Linked DNA regions of Astyanax mexicanus. The protein of the gene in region 1 purifies or fractionates together with the protein of each later gene. This does not show direct contact. Links are inferred from orthologs where the notes say so. Each region holds a gene or a part of one and is shown in the gene's direction. Other genes may lie near its edges. The genes, in order: mapk3 and dusp6.

The links.
Region 2: the proteins of mapk3 (region 1) and dusp6 purify together in Homo sapiens (affinity purification with mass spectrometry; 7 studies listed by BioGRID and IntAct, with this or other methods). This does not show direct contact. The link is inferred for Astyanax mexicanus from reciprocal best matches to the Homo sapiens genes MAPK3 and DUSP6.

What each region holds. Positions count from the first base shown.
Region 1 is NC_064426.1:25,608,768-25,616,475, forward strand, and holds the start of mapk3 (mitogen-activated protein kinase 3), read left to right. Parts: upstream 1-4,495; 5' UTR 4,496-4,702; coding exon 4,703-4,914; intron 4,915-7,708.
Region 2 is NC_064417.1:17,625,408-17,632,792, reverse strand, and holds the start of dusp6 (dual specificity protein phosphatase 6), read left to right. Parts: upstream 1-4,076; 5' UTR 4,077-4,584; coding exon 4,585-4,984; intron 4,985-5,710; coding exon 5,711-6,145; intron 6,146-7,101; coding exon 7,102-7,385. UniProt on the Homo sapiens protein: Dual specificity protein phosphatase, which mediates dephosphorylation and inactivation of MAP kinases. Has a specificity for the ERK family. Plays an important role in alleviating chronic postoperative pain.

The sequences.
Region 1 (7,708 bases):
GTATGGTTTTACATGTACTGTTTTTGCAGTATTAATCTAACCTACTTACATGGAATATTTGTGTCTATTCTTATAGTCTGTACTGTGTTGGTCTTATACTGTAGAAAGTGAGATTTAAATAATAAGGATGAATAATATTAATTATTATTTGTTGGAAGCACATTTGACCTAAAATGATCAATGTAGGTGTAGAAGAGCTTAACCCAAACATTCAAAGCCTTTAGGATAAATGTATGTTGATTTAATGTCAGAATTTCAACCTTTTTTTCAACTGATGTCAAATTGTGGTTGTTTTAAAGTTGTTTTTTCTATCATTAACCTTAAAATGTATATAATTTCTAATGTTCCTTGCTATCATGAATGTTTGTAGTTGTTTTTGTTTGTTATTTTGATATATGCTCAACCCTGAACCCCTGAATCTCTTGTCAATGAAATTCATACTGGTTAATACATCTCTACACAGTGTCTGATGTTTGGTCTGGCTGAGGGTCTAGGGAACAAGTCCATTTTCCTTTTCTGTTTTGCACAACATTAATCATAACCAATCCATCTAACCACACCAGCTAGCCAGCAATATATTTCCAAGACTTTTCTTATCATCTTTAATTTGATAATAATATTCGTGTAAAGCATGTGACCTCATTTAAACACTTCAAGACTAAACTTTTAATCATTTGACTCAGGCACCAATTTGCAAACTGCCCGCTAGTTATATTCTGGTGTGATAAGAAGATCATATCTAACCAACTTAACAGAAGAGAGACAAATTTAGCTAGGTTATAACTCAATCTCTACAGCATCGTAACACTCATTATATCATCATATGACAGAGGTGTGAGCAGCTGTTGTAGAGTTTCTGTAGGACTAAAAAAGAATAAGATGTGTGTCACTGTGATCAAGGTAACAGCCCTGCTGAAACATCAAGCTTAAGACCAGATATTAATGTATAGATGGCCTGAGCTGGTCTTTGATGGTCAGTGTAGTTAACAATATGCTGATGTGAACTAACTAACCAGCCAGCATTTCAACATTTATTCATGACTGAATCAATATCATATTAAGATGCTGAAAAAGGTCTTTAGAAACAGAAGTATGATAACTCACAGTTTGTTTACAGGTCATTTTTTTTAATATTTTGTTTTTCTATTTTCACACAAATACATTTTGTTACAAGTCGTATTATTAAAAAATAAAATCTTTAATAATGATTAATGATATGTATAAGACAAGCACATTAAATTGATAATAATTTAAGGTTTTGCTGTCATATTGGTTTACCAGTGTGGTCATGCTTATCATGCTGTTTAAAACACTGTAAACCCACAATTAGTTTGAAGTAAAACAAAATTAAGCCTGTTTTATCTAAAATTTCATATTTCCAAACATTACTCAACTATTTTATACTAGGTGAACATTCGTGCCCACATACAGTATACAAAAAATAGGAGACCAGTTTCTGAATCAGTTTCTCACAGTTAAAAATTTCATGTTTAGCTTGGTTTGATGGCTTCTGATCATCCATCTTCCTCTTGATTGTATTCCAGAGGTTTACAGTTTAGTAAAATCAAAGAAACTCATCACTTTTAAGTGGTCTCTTATTTTTTCCGAAACTGTACACATTTAAACAGAGATCTTTGTCAGAGATCAGAGAGTTTTGTCTGTTGCCACTGGCAGCTTCTTTTCCATTGGCTTCTGGTACAACCTGTTTGAATTCTGGATGTGTTTCTGACACTAACATCCATCTGTGTATCTGTCTGTCTGTCTGTCTGTCTGTCTGTCTGTCTGTCTGTCTGTCTGTCTGTCTGGCTGGCTGTCTACCAGATTGATAGTGCTTGTAATACTGGTCAATGTATGTGTTAATGCTGGTCAACCAGTAAGTTCAAGCTTAGTCATAATTGTTATTTATCGGGGCCAGATGGACCATGCTTGAAGACTAGATTATTCAATCAGCTTTACCAGCTTGACCAGCATGAGGGAAAAACATAACAACATGAAAATTGGGTTATTAATCATTGGATTCAATCATTAGAGGGCTGTCTAATGGAAAACTATTACCTCATTAGTAGTTTGTGCTTATCAAATTACTGCCACAACACAAATGTTAATTTCTGTTATCACATTTCTTACTGTTTCTAGCTTACAGTAATGCTTTCCTCACAGTGGAGTGGCTTGCCCTCTACTGCTACATTATTAATATATGCTATTGCTGAATATAAATGGATGGGCATTTTAGCCCACAATCTAGATATGTTTTAGTCAAGTCACTGTAGTTCAAGAATAACTTTATTTAAACCTTTATCTGTCTGTCTATGTTAAAACACTGGCTATATAATTGACAGTGCAGGGATTTTTTTTTACATGTAAAAGGGCATGCTAACTCGTTAACTTTTTATCACTGTTGATTTATGTCACGTAATCAACTTCATATTCATTCATATCACATTTACATATCAGTGACAACACAAGCACACATCAACTCACATTACAATGACTAACACATTTAATTTCATAATATGTAGGGCGTAGAGTGTGTATGTTTATTAAAACAGATCTTAAGATTAATGTCATCAGTTTGCTCATGGGCTTATCTCTTTGATCTCATGATCTTATCGAATTAGAGTGGTTCACTATGATGGGAGCACGTATAAACCTGAATGTTTGCTTACATGATTCGCACAGACACAAGATACATTCCTATCATCCCACCGCTTCTCAGTGAAGAGGACTATACAGTGAATTTGGACATTTTAGGTGAGATGTGAAAGTATATGGAGTAAAGTGTTCAGTTTAAAGGGAACTTTGCACTGCATACTGAAGAAAGTACTGTATGAGTTTATCACTAGGAATTTGTCAGTAATGTTTACCCATCATTCCGTGTATGTCTCACTGGCTGGGGCTCACCATGAACACTACAACACGGTGTACACACAACACAAATCTGCTGTTGTTTAGCCATAAAATCACATATATTCTTTTTGTGCATACACAGCTGTGACACAGGCCTGTCACAGTATATTGTATACACAACATATTCATAAGAGAAGCACCGATGTGGGAATTCTGAGCTGATGGCGATATCTGATATTTCACCACCTCTGCCAATGGTGATGTGGATATCCACATTTATAACTTACAGAGAGACTACACACCCCACTATACTGTCTCCTCCACAAGTATTAGGACAGTTAGGCCAGTCCTACTATTGCTATCTGCTGTAAACTGAAAACATTTGTGTTTATTATTAAAAGACAGAAGATAGAACCTTTTGTCTGACAAAACACAAAACAAACAAAAATTTGCTGTCTTTTGTCTTCAGATTCAGATGCAGAAATAAATAGATTGGCCTCACTGTTCCAATATTTTTGGAGTGGACTGTAACTTTATAACTTTAAAACAAATATATATATTTTTTTTTATTGCTTAAATCAATTAATTTTAAAGTAGCACATGCAGTGTTGGGTAATTGTAGCAGCACGGCAAGCATCACTTGGTCCTTTTCCTCTGCCAAACAGGTGTCCTAGCGTCCAATTTTTTTTTCAAAATTAACATTTTAATATAACATTATAGTCATTATGGCTTTTAGAGAAATAGCACTATAGGCTCCTGTGGTGCCGCCTAAACTTTTGTCCTTAATGGCATTTTTCCCCTTACTTATACTTTATATTTTATAATTCAAGTAGTTTTGAAACCAGAACATTTACATTTTTACTTGAGTTGATACTTTAACTTCTACAGAAGTATTTTAAACCCTAGTATCTATACTTCTACCTGAGTAATGAATGTGGATACTTTTGACACATTTGTTTTCCTATACCTGTGGCCATGGAAGTGATTAAAACCAGTCAGTCAGTCAGTGAGTCAGTCAGTGACTCAGTGGTTTGGATGGGTGAACGAATATGTTTTGTAATTTTGTGTTTTTAATTAAATTTACTTTAAATTGACTTTTTAACAAACTTAAAAATTTTAATGGAACAATTCATAAATTTTTGTTTTGAACGTGCTTTTTTATTTTTTTGAGGTGAAGAAATTTGACGTTAAGAAAAAATACATTTCAAAATATGATTTTCAGATTTGGAAAAATCAGATGCATAAATTTCAGATAGATCAATTCAAATCAATCTACTGGATTACATCTTTGTTCTAATATTGTATTCTTGAGTTTCGAATAAAATAGATTTTAATTTAATTTGGATTTTTTTATTTTATTTTATGGGTTTTAACAGCCATTTTCACTACCTCCAATTTCAAAACACAAAAAGTTGTTAGAATTAAAATGTTTGAATCTCCTCATTAAATATTTCAAGTTTATTCAAAAGTCAGGTAAATTTAATTCAAATATACAAAATGCAGATTCAATACTTATGTCAATACTTTTAAGCCACATATAGCTGCTAATAAGGTTTAATAGTAATATAATATACTGGTAATAACCCCGCTAATCGTGGGCGGCGCAGATCTGCACACGCCCAGCGTCGCTGCACGGGAGGGATCCGCGTCCACACACTCACACAGTCTTTATCGAAGAGGAGGAGGAGGGCCTCGATTTATCGACTCCTCTTCGACTGTCAGGCGAGCGCACTCGTCCACGGAAAACCACCGCGGCCGCGATCTCAACAAACAGCAGCAGAACACGCGCGGGGACGCCTTTTATCGCCTGAACTCGTTTGTATTGATCTGAGGGTGCGGATTTGTGGACGGAGTGATGGCGGACTCAGGCAGCAGCGCAGCGGCAGCCGGAGCCGCAGGCTCGAATGGGAGCGCCGCCGGGGCAGGAGGAGCGGTGCCGCCCGGGGGAGCGACTGGAGCTGCGGGATCCAAGCCCGGCCTTGAGTCCGTGAAAGGGCAAAATTTTGACGTGGGCCCTCGCTACACCGATCTGCAGTACATCGGGGAGGGGGCGTACGGGATGGTTTGGTAAGGGGAGGAAGTGTTTGCTGACATTTCTGTGTTTTTGTTACACATTTTAACGATATAAACACCATGAGAGAAGCTGCTGCTGCAACAGTAGGGTGGGCTCAGTTCGCTAGCGTTAGCTTAGCAGCGTAGCTAACCTAGCAGGATACTTGTAGGGGTGGATAACCCAGGTCCAGAAAGTAAAGGGCCAACCCAGGGTTTTGTACCAACTGCCTGGGCGGCTATGCTGCAGCTGGTACAAACCCTGGGTTGGATTTTTACTTTCTGGACCTTGGTTACCCACCTCTACAAGTATATAGCTAGCGACTTATCCTAGCTGTCTTACGCGCTAGCTTAGCATCGCATAGTCGGCTATGCTGGTAAATCCAGGTTCATGATTTGAAAAAGAAATCCAGGCCAAGATTTGTTTCCAACGGCTTTAGCAGAGCCTCTGAAGTCGAGCTACAGCAGCGCTGCCAATGCAGTTGGAATAAAATCCTGGGCTGGATTCTGGCTAACGCGAACTTTCTGGACCTGGATTTACCAACACTAGCAGTTGGATAAAAAAAGTAGGTGTTGGTCCTTGGTGGCTGTTTAAACTAGATAGTTAACGTTATATTAAACGACAATTGTAGCTAACTGTAACGTTAACCATACGCTATATAGCTAGCTATATCTGTTTATATAGGACGTTCTCCAAGCGTTAACTAAACATTATCCTAACATTATCCAGCAACTAACCTAGCTAACTAAACAAGATGACGCTTAACGTTAACTATGTAAAAAACAGGCGAAGATGTTGTGCATTACAATACAGTTAACTAGCCAGTTACAAACACAGACGCATAATAATAATAAACCCGCCCATAATAATGTTAATGAGAATAATAAAGACAATAGTAGTAAATCAAAAAGTGAGATAATAGAATACAGTAAAAAAAAAAAGCAAAGCAAAAAAGTGTTTGCATAACTAACAGTATAAGCTAACTAGCTAGTCAAGACGTTGGTGTTAAGACATAACAGGTAGCTAGTTAGCTAGCTAACATAAATAACAAACATAATAGATACGCATAACCGAGCTAGCTAAAGAAAAAAAAAATAGATATGGGTAAAAAGGAGTTAAGTAGCTAACTAGATGTTTAGTATACAAACAGTGTAACTATCAGCTGGGTTAGCTAGTTATTTATGTTAAGAATGTCAAATAAAGGATTAGCATTATATTTAAACGTTAAAATATAGTAAAACATGCTAGCTAACGATAGCTAATAGGAAAAAAAGATGCAAAGGATTTGCAAGGAAGCGAATCAAGCAAGCTGTCATTTTGATGCTCATCCTGTTAGCTTACCTAGCTAACCTAAAGTTTATACAGGCATTGGCCTTATATTTTTAACCAAACCACAATATAAATGTTACTAAAGACATGTCCATGTCCGCTCTGATAATTTTTGTTTTTTTTTCGTCGCCCAATCTCTAAAAGAGCCAGTGTTTGGCTGGTTAGCTAACTTAGCTGGCTAGTTGTGAGCTAAACCTGCATGCTAATCCATTAGCTAGCGTTTAGCGGCTTGACATTTCATTATGTGCTGCCTGTAGGAAAGGCGTGGTTTTACCATAATGCTAATTGTGTGTTTAGTCGGGGGAGTGAGGTGGCAGAAATGCTGCTTTTTTCAGGATTTTTAAACGCTCTGAATGTTGCTAAATGTAGTTAAATGCATTAATAGTTGTTGTGCTTTGTAATTAACACTGAATTGGCAGTCAGTTAGTTCACGTTAGGTGGCCCAGCGAACACACAGCATTGTCACAACGTTGGCTACGTTCTTACAACGTTGCTACAATGTTGTCAAAAGGTGGCTGTTCTTCTCATCACAATGTTTTGTGCTTTTCTACAAGTCTGCTGCAGTGGGATTAGAAAAGAAAATCAATCTTAGCTTTCAACGGAAGTCAGTGAAAAAGATTTTATGTCCAGTAATTTTAAGCATTTCTATTGGTCCATGAAATGATCAAATTACAAATCCACACTTTTAATCACAAACCTACAGACCCCCTATGGTGACAACGTGGAATAAAATATGTACTTATTAGTGACCAAAGCTTAATTAAAACTTGAGAACCAGATAATTAAGTCGTGGGGACGATTGTTATGGTCAGGACTCAATTTGTCTTGTTCCCACACTAAGTCATGGCCACACATTAAAATCTTGTTCCCACACTTGGTTGAGTCGTGGCCACAAGTAAGGATCTTATTCCCATGCCTAAATAAGGTATGGCCACACATTATGATCTGTTCTCACGCTTTAATAAGTCATGGCCATGCATTAGAATCTCGTTCCCATGCTTTATTAAGTCGTGGCAATGCATTCAGATCTCATTCCCATGTGTTTTTAAGTCGTGGCCACGTATTATGATCTCGTCCCCACGCTTTAAGTAATGGCCACACATGAGAATCTCATTCCCATGCTTTAACAAGTTGTTATTATTATTATTATTATTATTATTATTTATTTTTATTTTTTTTTTGTATGTTTTAACATGGTGTCACCTTTGTAGTAAACAGAAAAGACACGCAACTTTTTAAAATAAAAAACGTTATGTATAGTGGATTTGATAATATTAACAAAAACAATACATTGTATAGCTATATATGTTTATATGGGGCTTTCTCCGAACGCTCAAAGTGAATAACAAAATATAAACCTAACATTGTCTAGCTTGCAAACTTGGCTAGCTATGTAAAATTTACAAACATATATATATTTATTTAAAAAAGTGACATTTTATTAAATTATCTGATTACTGATTATGTCAATTATTTTACAAC
Region 2 (7,385 bases), on another chromosome or scaffold:
CGGGGGACGAATCGCTAGCTAATATCTCACTGTCTTACCAGAACACGCAGGATTACTCAGTGTAACGCTGTCGTTTAAGTTTGGGTTAACTTTACTAGTTTAGGTGACTAGCTAGCGTGCTAGCGGATAGCTATGCTAACGCTGGTGCAGCAAGCCTTAGTGGACATCTGGAAATCTAAGCTTACTGTAAATAAACTGAAGCACGTTACTCACCCAAATAAACAGTTTTCAGGAGAGGAATCTGTGTAGATTAATATCCAGCACTCGTTTGACTTTGAAAGAGCTAGATTTATATATACTGAGACGCTCCACCGGCAAGCGACCACCCCCGGTGGGGGAAGGGAAACATGGCGCCACCCCTGTTCACTTTGATATAGGCACCCTTTCTAGTGTCACTTAACGCGCCTTATAATGCGATGCGCCCTATGTATGGAAAAATAGCAGAAAATAGGCGTTCTTTGATAGTGCGTCTTATAATACGGTGCGCCTTATAGTCCGAAAAATACGGTATTTGTTTGGAATGTACTAATAAATAACACTTAAATCAAATGTTTAAGCAAGAAATTCTTTACTCCTTTGCAGCAATCGGGACTTCGGCTGGAAATAGTTTAATCATTTTCTCACTCCTCCCACCATCTCTCCAAACAACATTATGGGATCTTTTTTTTTTTTTAAATGTAGATTCTCCTAATGCTAAAATAAATGAAGTGAACAGTGTCATCATACCCTGTCTCAACATTTGATTGGAACTGCGCTCCACTACTTAAAACAGGCCATCCCAAAAACTAGACCAATGCTTGTTTTAGCTTTACTGCTGAACAAAAGGAGCAGTGTCTTTTATATTCAAATGTATGAAACAACTAAGAACTAAGACAATTAATGTTACATGCACAACACATGTACCTTAATGTGGGGGAGGACATGGAGCCAGTCTACGCAAGACAAAGACTTTTACAGACTCCTGGCCCGCAGGTGTTTTGAGAAATTAAGTCCTAGGCAGAACAGAAACAAGAAATCAGAGACTCCAAAGACAAGTTTCTAAAAGCTGCAGGGTAATGTCTGTTGCAGTGAACTCCCTGCCATGCATCCGAGGTTAAGAGCTCTGAAACTGCACACACCTTTTCTGCATGGTCGTTCTGCATGTGAATGGCAGGCCTAAATGGACTATTAAGGGCAATTGGCCGCTGGCCTCCACAGGAGACAGTGTGTCTGAGAACAGTGGCTGCTCTGGATCTTACTTTACATTTTTCATCAATGTGATGCAACTTTTTAGTACAAATACCAGAACCCTCTGGATTCCTGAGTGCTACTACAGGAACCCTTAGGCCAGGGGTGTCAAACTCATTTTGGCCGAGGGCCACATTGGCATATTGGCTGTCCTCCGAGGGCCAGATGTAACTTATAAATGTAATAAAATGTAACCAAATGTAATATATGTAAATGAATGTAATTACTCCTTAATGTTAAATAACTCTCAATATATTATTTATTCAATCAAATATTACAGTTGCATGGAAAAAATGTTTGCTTGTTGCTCTATTAACATAAATCCTTTTAATTTGTCATGTCATGAAATCCAAAAACTCCATCAATCAAGAACCAAACTATTCAAGTGAATAGAAATGACATGACATCAAGTTATATTAACTTTGAAATTATTAACTGAAATAAGGCTTAATAAATATAAAATCAAATTGTGAGCTGTTAAGAACATAGCATTTCCTCAGATTTAGCAGTTCCTCATCCAACCACTAGTGGGAGCTGCAGCAGCAGCAGCACCACAAGTCCGCAGTCTTTACTGAGTCAGAGCTACAGCCCAGCCACGGGCTACAGGGCTCAGCTCAGCCAGTCTGGAGCGTTTTTAAAATTTTTAAGTTCTTCTGTGTATGAAATAAAGATTTTTGTAACCGAATAATACAGCTCTCTACAGTTCATCTTTCAGCCCAATCAGCTAACAGCAGCCGTTTAGAGCATGAGTCACTGCTGGGATTACATTGTAAACAGGTCAGTTATCGCGCTGCTAACCTCAGGATGTTTATAACTACGGAGTTTAGTGGACACACCACGGCAGCAAGGTTAGACTGTTGAAGGCTACTGAAGACTATTAAAGGCTATTGGAGGTTATTGAAAGGGTTATTGAGGGCAGAAATTAGTAAAGGCTGGTTAGATAAGTGATTCACGTCCTCGTACTTTGCTGCGGTGAAACTGCGACTAGCGCTGTCCCAGTGATGTTTATTAACGTCATTAAAACAGATTTTGTCAGCTATTGTCTTATAAATATTTACACAGAACTTATATCTCTCCTAAAAAGCGTTTATTTTGGTCAGTAACACTCTTCGTAACACAAAAGGCATACCGGTCTTTCGCCTTGAAGCACAGCCGTCCGTCTGCATCAACTTCTCTTTTTCTGGACATTATGGGATAAACATTTATGTCTCAATTCCACCCGCGAAGTTACACCTTCCCTCCGGCAGGGTTTCCACATCAATGACTACACTGCCGTGTAGTGGCAGTAAGCCGTAACTTTGCGGGTAATACAATCGACAAGCATTGTGGGAAATGTATTTTTTGGTCAAAGAACGCTTCTGACTTATTTATTATAGACACTAAGATCTTACAAGCTCTCGCGGGCCACATAAAAAGACGTGGCGGGCCACATTTGGCCCGCGGGCCTTGTGTTTGACACATGTGCCTTAGGCTAATGAAGGTATGAACATTTTCAGATCAAGATTTATCTCTGAACAACAAACTGAACATACAGAGCAGTGATTTGCTGGAGTACTTTATCAAAGCTAACGTATTCTCTAAACTGGATTACAATGGATCTGAGGTAATCTGATCTAGCAGCACTGATCCATACCTAACCATACCCAACATCATCATTCACCAGATTACTAACAAAAACAATAGTTTATCTACTGCTAATAATCACGATCATAGTAGGAGTTACATTTTAACATTTCCACTTCACAGTCCATTAATATTAATGATATAATAAATCTCCCCCCCAGTTAACTGTTAAGAACTTAAAGTGTTTCCTGTACAGATTGCAGTGGACTAGCTGTAATACAGAGAATAAAGAAAAGCATTAATTTGGGGGATTGGCGAGTCTGGATCTTTCCTGGGTACGTGTGCTAAACTGATCTAATGGTTCTGCTAATGTGTTTATTGAATCATCGTTTACACAGGATATAGACCTGCTGAACAGCCAGAGAGCCATCAGCATCTGATCATGTGGCACGAAGTGCGATATCTCCTGAGCGAAACCCCTGCGTGGGGGGTTATAACAAAACAGCATCACGGCATTGTAGTTGTTCTTTAAGACACTATAATAAACACAAACTAACTGACAACATATGTTCCACTGTGTAGATTAACTGTAGTGTAAAGGTTTTGACCTTTCTATACAAACATAATAAATGAACCAATAGTAATCTAAACACTAAAACATTATGCACATTTTATATTGCAGCTCATATTAATTGCATTTTTGAATCTACACAATATGTTTAAAGCTAAATTACTAAAATAATGAAATTAGATGTTTATTGTTATTTTACAATGTTGCTTACTTTTCGCATGCATTTTTTATTCTAGCACCCCATAAAAGTATATATTAGTATTTTAAGTAACACCACTAATATAAAAAGTGCGCTTTATTAAGAACAAGGTAATCACAGAATATTTTTGTGATTAACCGGATTGTTTTAATCTCTCTCTCTCTCTCTCTCTCTCTCTCTCTCTCTCTTTATATATATATATATATATATATATATATATATATATATATATATATATATATATATATATATATATATATATAGTGTGTTTATATAGTTACAGGGTGTAGGGGGAGTAAAGCCCCCTCCTCCCCTCTCCCCGGGTTGTTTGCGGTGTTGCGGATCCGGAGCGGAAATTCCTTTCCGTTTTTGTGAATGACAAACTCATTAACTATTCATGTTCGCGGCCTGTTCCATCCGGCTCCGTTGCCGAGGCGACCAGAGCTCGGCGCTCTCCCATTGGTCGGCGCGTGTAGAATGCGGCCATTGAAACGAAACGCCCCTCGCGCCCCGAGCTCCATTCACTCTGTGCTGTCTGTCTGTGTGCAGAGGAAAACCTGCGCGCGCTGCTCACAGATCCGCTTCTAAAACCAGCGAGGCTCGCGGAGCAACATCAAAACAGAACCGCGCGCACTGAACGGAGAGTAACCCGCGTGCAGACCGCGCGCTGTGCCCGATACACTCTCCAACACCGGAGCGCGCTGCGTTATATAACGAAAGAGGCGACGTCAGCGGCGGCGGCTCCGCTCAGTGGCTGCCGCTCGAGCCATTGATAAACGCGCACGCGTTCTCGGTGCACTGCATGAATGGAGAGAAGCTGAGCGCGCGCGGGCTCGACTCGTTGACGGGGATTTCAGTCAGCAGCGTGTTCTCCCTCCTGCTGCTGCTGCTCTGGTGAACGGATCTGCTGCTGCGTTTAATGCTCAAGGCCTTGCGGCTCCGTGATCTTCGTTCGGCTCGGTAAAGGGGTTTCAGACAGACCGGAGGCGCGCGCTCGCTCGCTCCCTCTCTCTGCTCAGTCCCAATGCTCGATAAGCTCCGGCCCGCGCAGCTCGACTCGGCGATGGCGATCAGTAAGAGCGCTGAATGGCTGCGGGAGCAGCTCGAGACGCGGCGCGACGGATTGCTGGTGATGGACTGCCGCGCGCGCGAGCTCTACGACTCGTCGCACGTCGATACGGCCATCAACGTCGCCATCCCGAGCCTCATGCTGCGGCGGCTGAAGAAGGGAAACCTGCCCGTCAAGTCGCTGCTGTCCAGCGGAGAGGACCGCGAGAGGTTCGCGCGGAGGTGTAAGACCGACACCGTGGTTCTGTACGACGAGTACAGCCGGGACTGGAACGAGAATGTGGACGGAGGCTCCGTGCTCGGTTTACTGCTGAGGAGGATGAAGGACGAGGGCTGCAGGGCTTTCTACCTGGAAGGTGTGTGAGATTAAATCACAGAATCCGGCTTTAACCTTATCATCTCTTATAGTTATCATATCATAACTTTTTGTATAATGGGTAAAAATGAGCTGCAGTGGTAAGACGTTATATTTTATTTGAAAACGTAAATCTTAACCTAGTAATATAATTCATTTATATTAACATAGATTTTTGGTTTAACATTTTGTTGCTTAAAATATTCACCTTCAAAACAAATGTACACTCTATTCATAATGTAAGCGTGTTTCTGTGTTTCCGTAATCTGCCATTTAAAACATTAGTCAATAGAACATTGTGTTCTTACTCCAGTCTTAAAGCATTAGTCATTAGTTTTTAATTACTTTATGTATTTATATTTTTCAGTGTTAAAGGGACTTAATCTGCAAAAACAGGTCTTCTCATGCCTTCCCTATAATGTTTTAGTCTTTATAAAAGAAGGCATTAACCTTAGTGATAAAACCATACACTGAATTGTTAATCTTCTAGTAAAAACATTTGTCTTAACTGTTATCTTAAAAGCATGCTGAAGTCTACAGTAACACTCCTGATAAAACTTGCTTTGTTCCAGTTGAAATCTGGTGTGTTTTTTTTTTTTTATCGTGGCCTGTCTTTTTACAGCCTATGTTAGTGAAAGCATTAGGAAAGTCTCAGTGCCAGATCTGACTTTTATTAAAATTAAATTTTTGTACACTTGTACTCAGCTGTTTTTATTATTCCTAACAGGGGGCTTCAGCAAATTCCAGGCCGAGTACCCTGCACTGTGTGAGACCAACCTCGATGGCTCCTCCAGCAGCAGCTCGCCTACGGCTCAGGTGCTGGGCCTGGGAGGGCTGAGGATCAGCTCGGACTCCTCGGACATCGAGTCGGACATTGACCGTGACCCAAGCAGTGCCACAGACTCGGACGGCAGCCCGCTGTCCAACCCGCAGCCATCTTTCCCTGTGGAGATCCTGCCGCACCTGTATCTGGGCTGTGCCAAGGACTCCACAAACCTGGACATCTTGGAAGAGTTCGGCATCAAGTACATCCTCAATGTTACCCCCAACCTGCCCAATCTGTTCGAGAATGCCGGGGAATTTAAGTACAAGCAGATTCCCATATCCGACCACTGGAGTCAGAATCTCTCCCAGTTCTTCCCAGAGGCCATCAGCTTCATTGGTAAGTGTAAGATAAATACAAAGACAAGTACACGCAGTCTGATATAACATCTGCAAACTAATGTTGGGGAAGCACCTGGATTTGTTTTTAATTTGTTTTATTATGACAAAGGATATTTTTGTCCTCTGATTTACAGCAGCTCATTTCACCAGAGCACATTCGAAGGCATGGCATGTAAAAAACTTAAATGTAGCCTTTATTACACAAATGGGTCAGAAATAAAACCTAGATCTAACATTAGGAAGATCTACTAACCCAGAGCCAAGAAAAGGCACCTCTTTGTTTAAATTGTAACTAGTCAGTGTTTGAGTGGATGCCACTGTTCCTTTATATTTGCGAGTTTAGCTGAGCCTTGTGCAATTGTGGTACAAAGGCTTAGGATGAAAGAGGAGAAGGGTAGGGGGGTGGGTGTAATTTGAGCTTAACAGGAAGGAAGCAGCATTGAAAGTAATGTAGGACAGAGCAGTGTTTCTCCACACAATGGGGCCCATTTACAGGGGAATGTTGACATCCTGCTAGCCATGACAGGGTGCCCCCATGACTTCTACATTTACACACCCAAATGGTGCCATTGTCAAGTAACCTGGTGAGCGGAAGGATCATTTGATAGGCCATAATAGCCCATTTCCATGTCAGAATTCACAAAGAAAATGGAAGATTTGTTTTTTTCCCTGTCTTCTGTCATGCACTGGAGAGTCTAATGAATTCTGACACACAGCCCTCTCTCTGTCTCTCGGCAGCATGGCTAATGTAGTATTACACATTTATAAGGGCACTTTGCCTTAGCCACGCAATCTCGCAAATTATATGTAGAGGAAACTGAGTTTGTGGCTCCTCAGGTTGTTTATCTGGTCTTGCCAGATTGGTGCTTTGTTTTGTTTGTGTTGTGTGCATATGTGTTTGTATGAGCCCTGGAGGACATAAATTAATCAGCTTTCTTCTTCTTTCCTGTTCAGATGAGGCCCGAGGACAGAAGTGTGGTGTTTTGGTGCACTGTCTGGCTGGCATCAGCCGTTCGGTCACAGTGACCGTGGCCTACCTCATGCAGAAGCTTAACCTGTCTATGAACGATGCCTACGACATCGTCAAGATGAAGAAATCAAACATCTCACCCAACTTTAACTTCATGGGCCAACTCCTAGACTTTGAGCGCACACTGGGCATTCAAAGCCCCTGCGACAACCGCGCCACATCGGCCCCTTCGCAAGCGCTCTACTTCTCCACCCCCACCAACCACAAC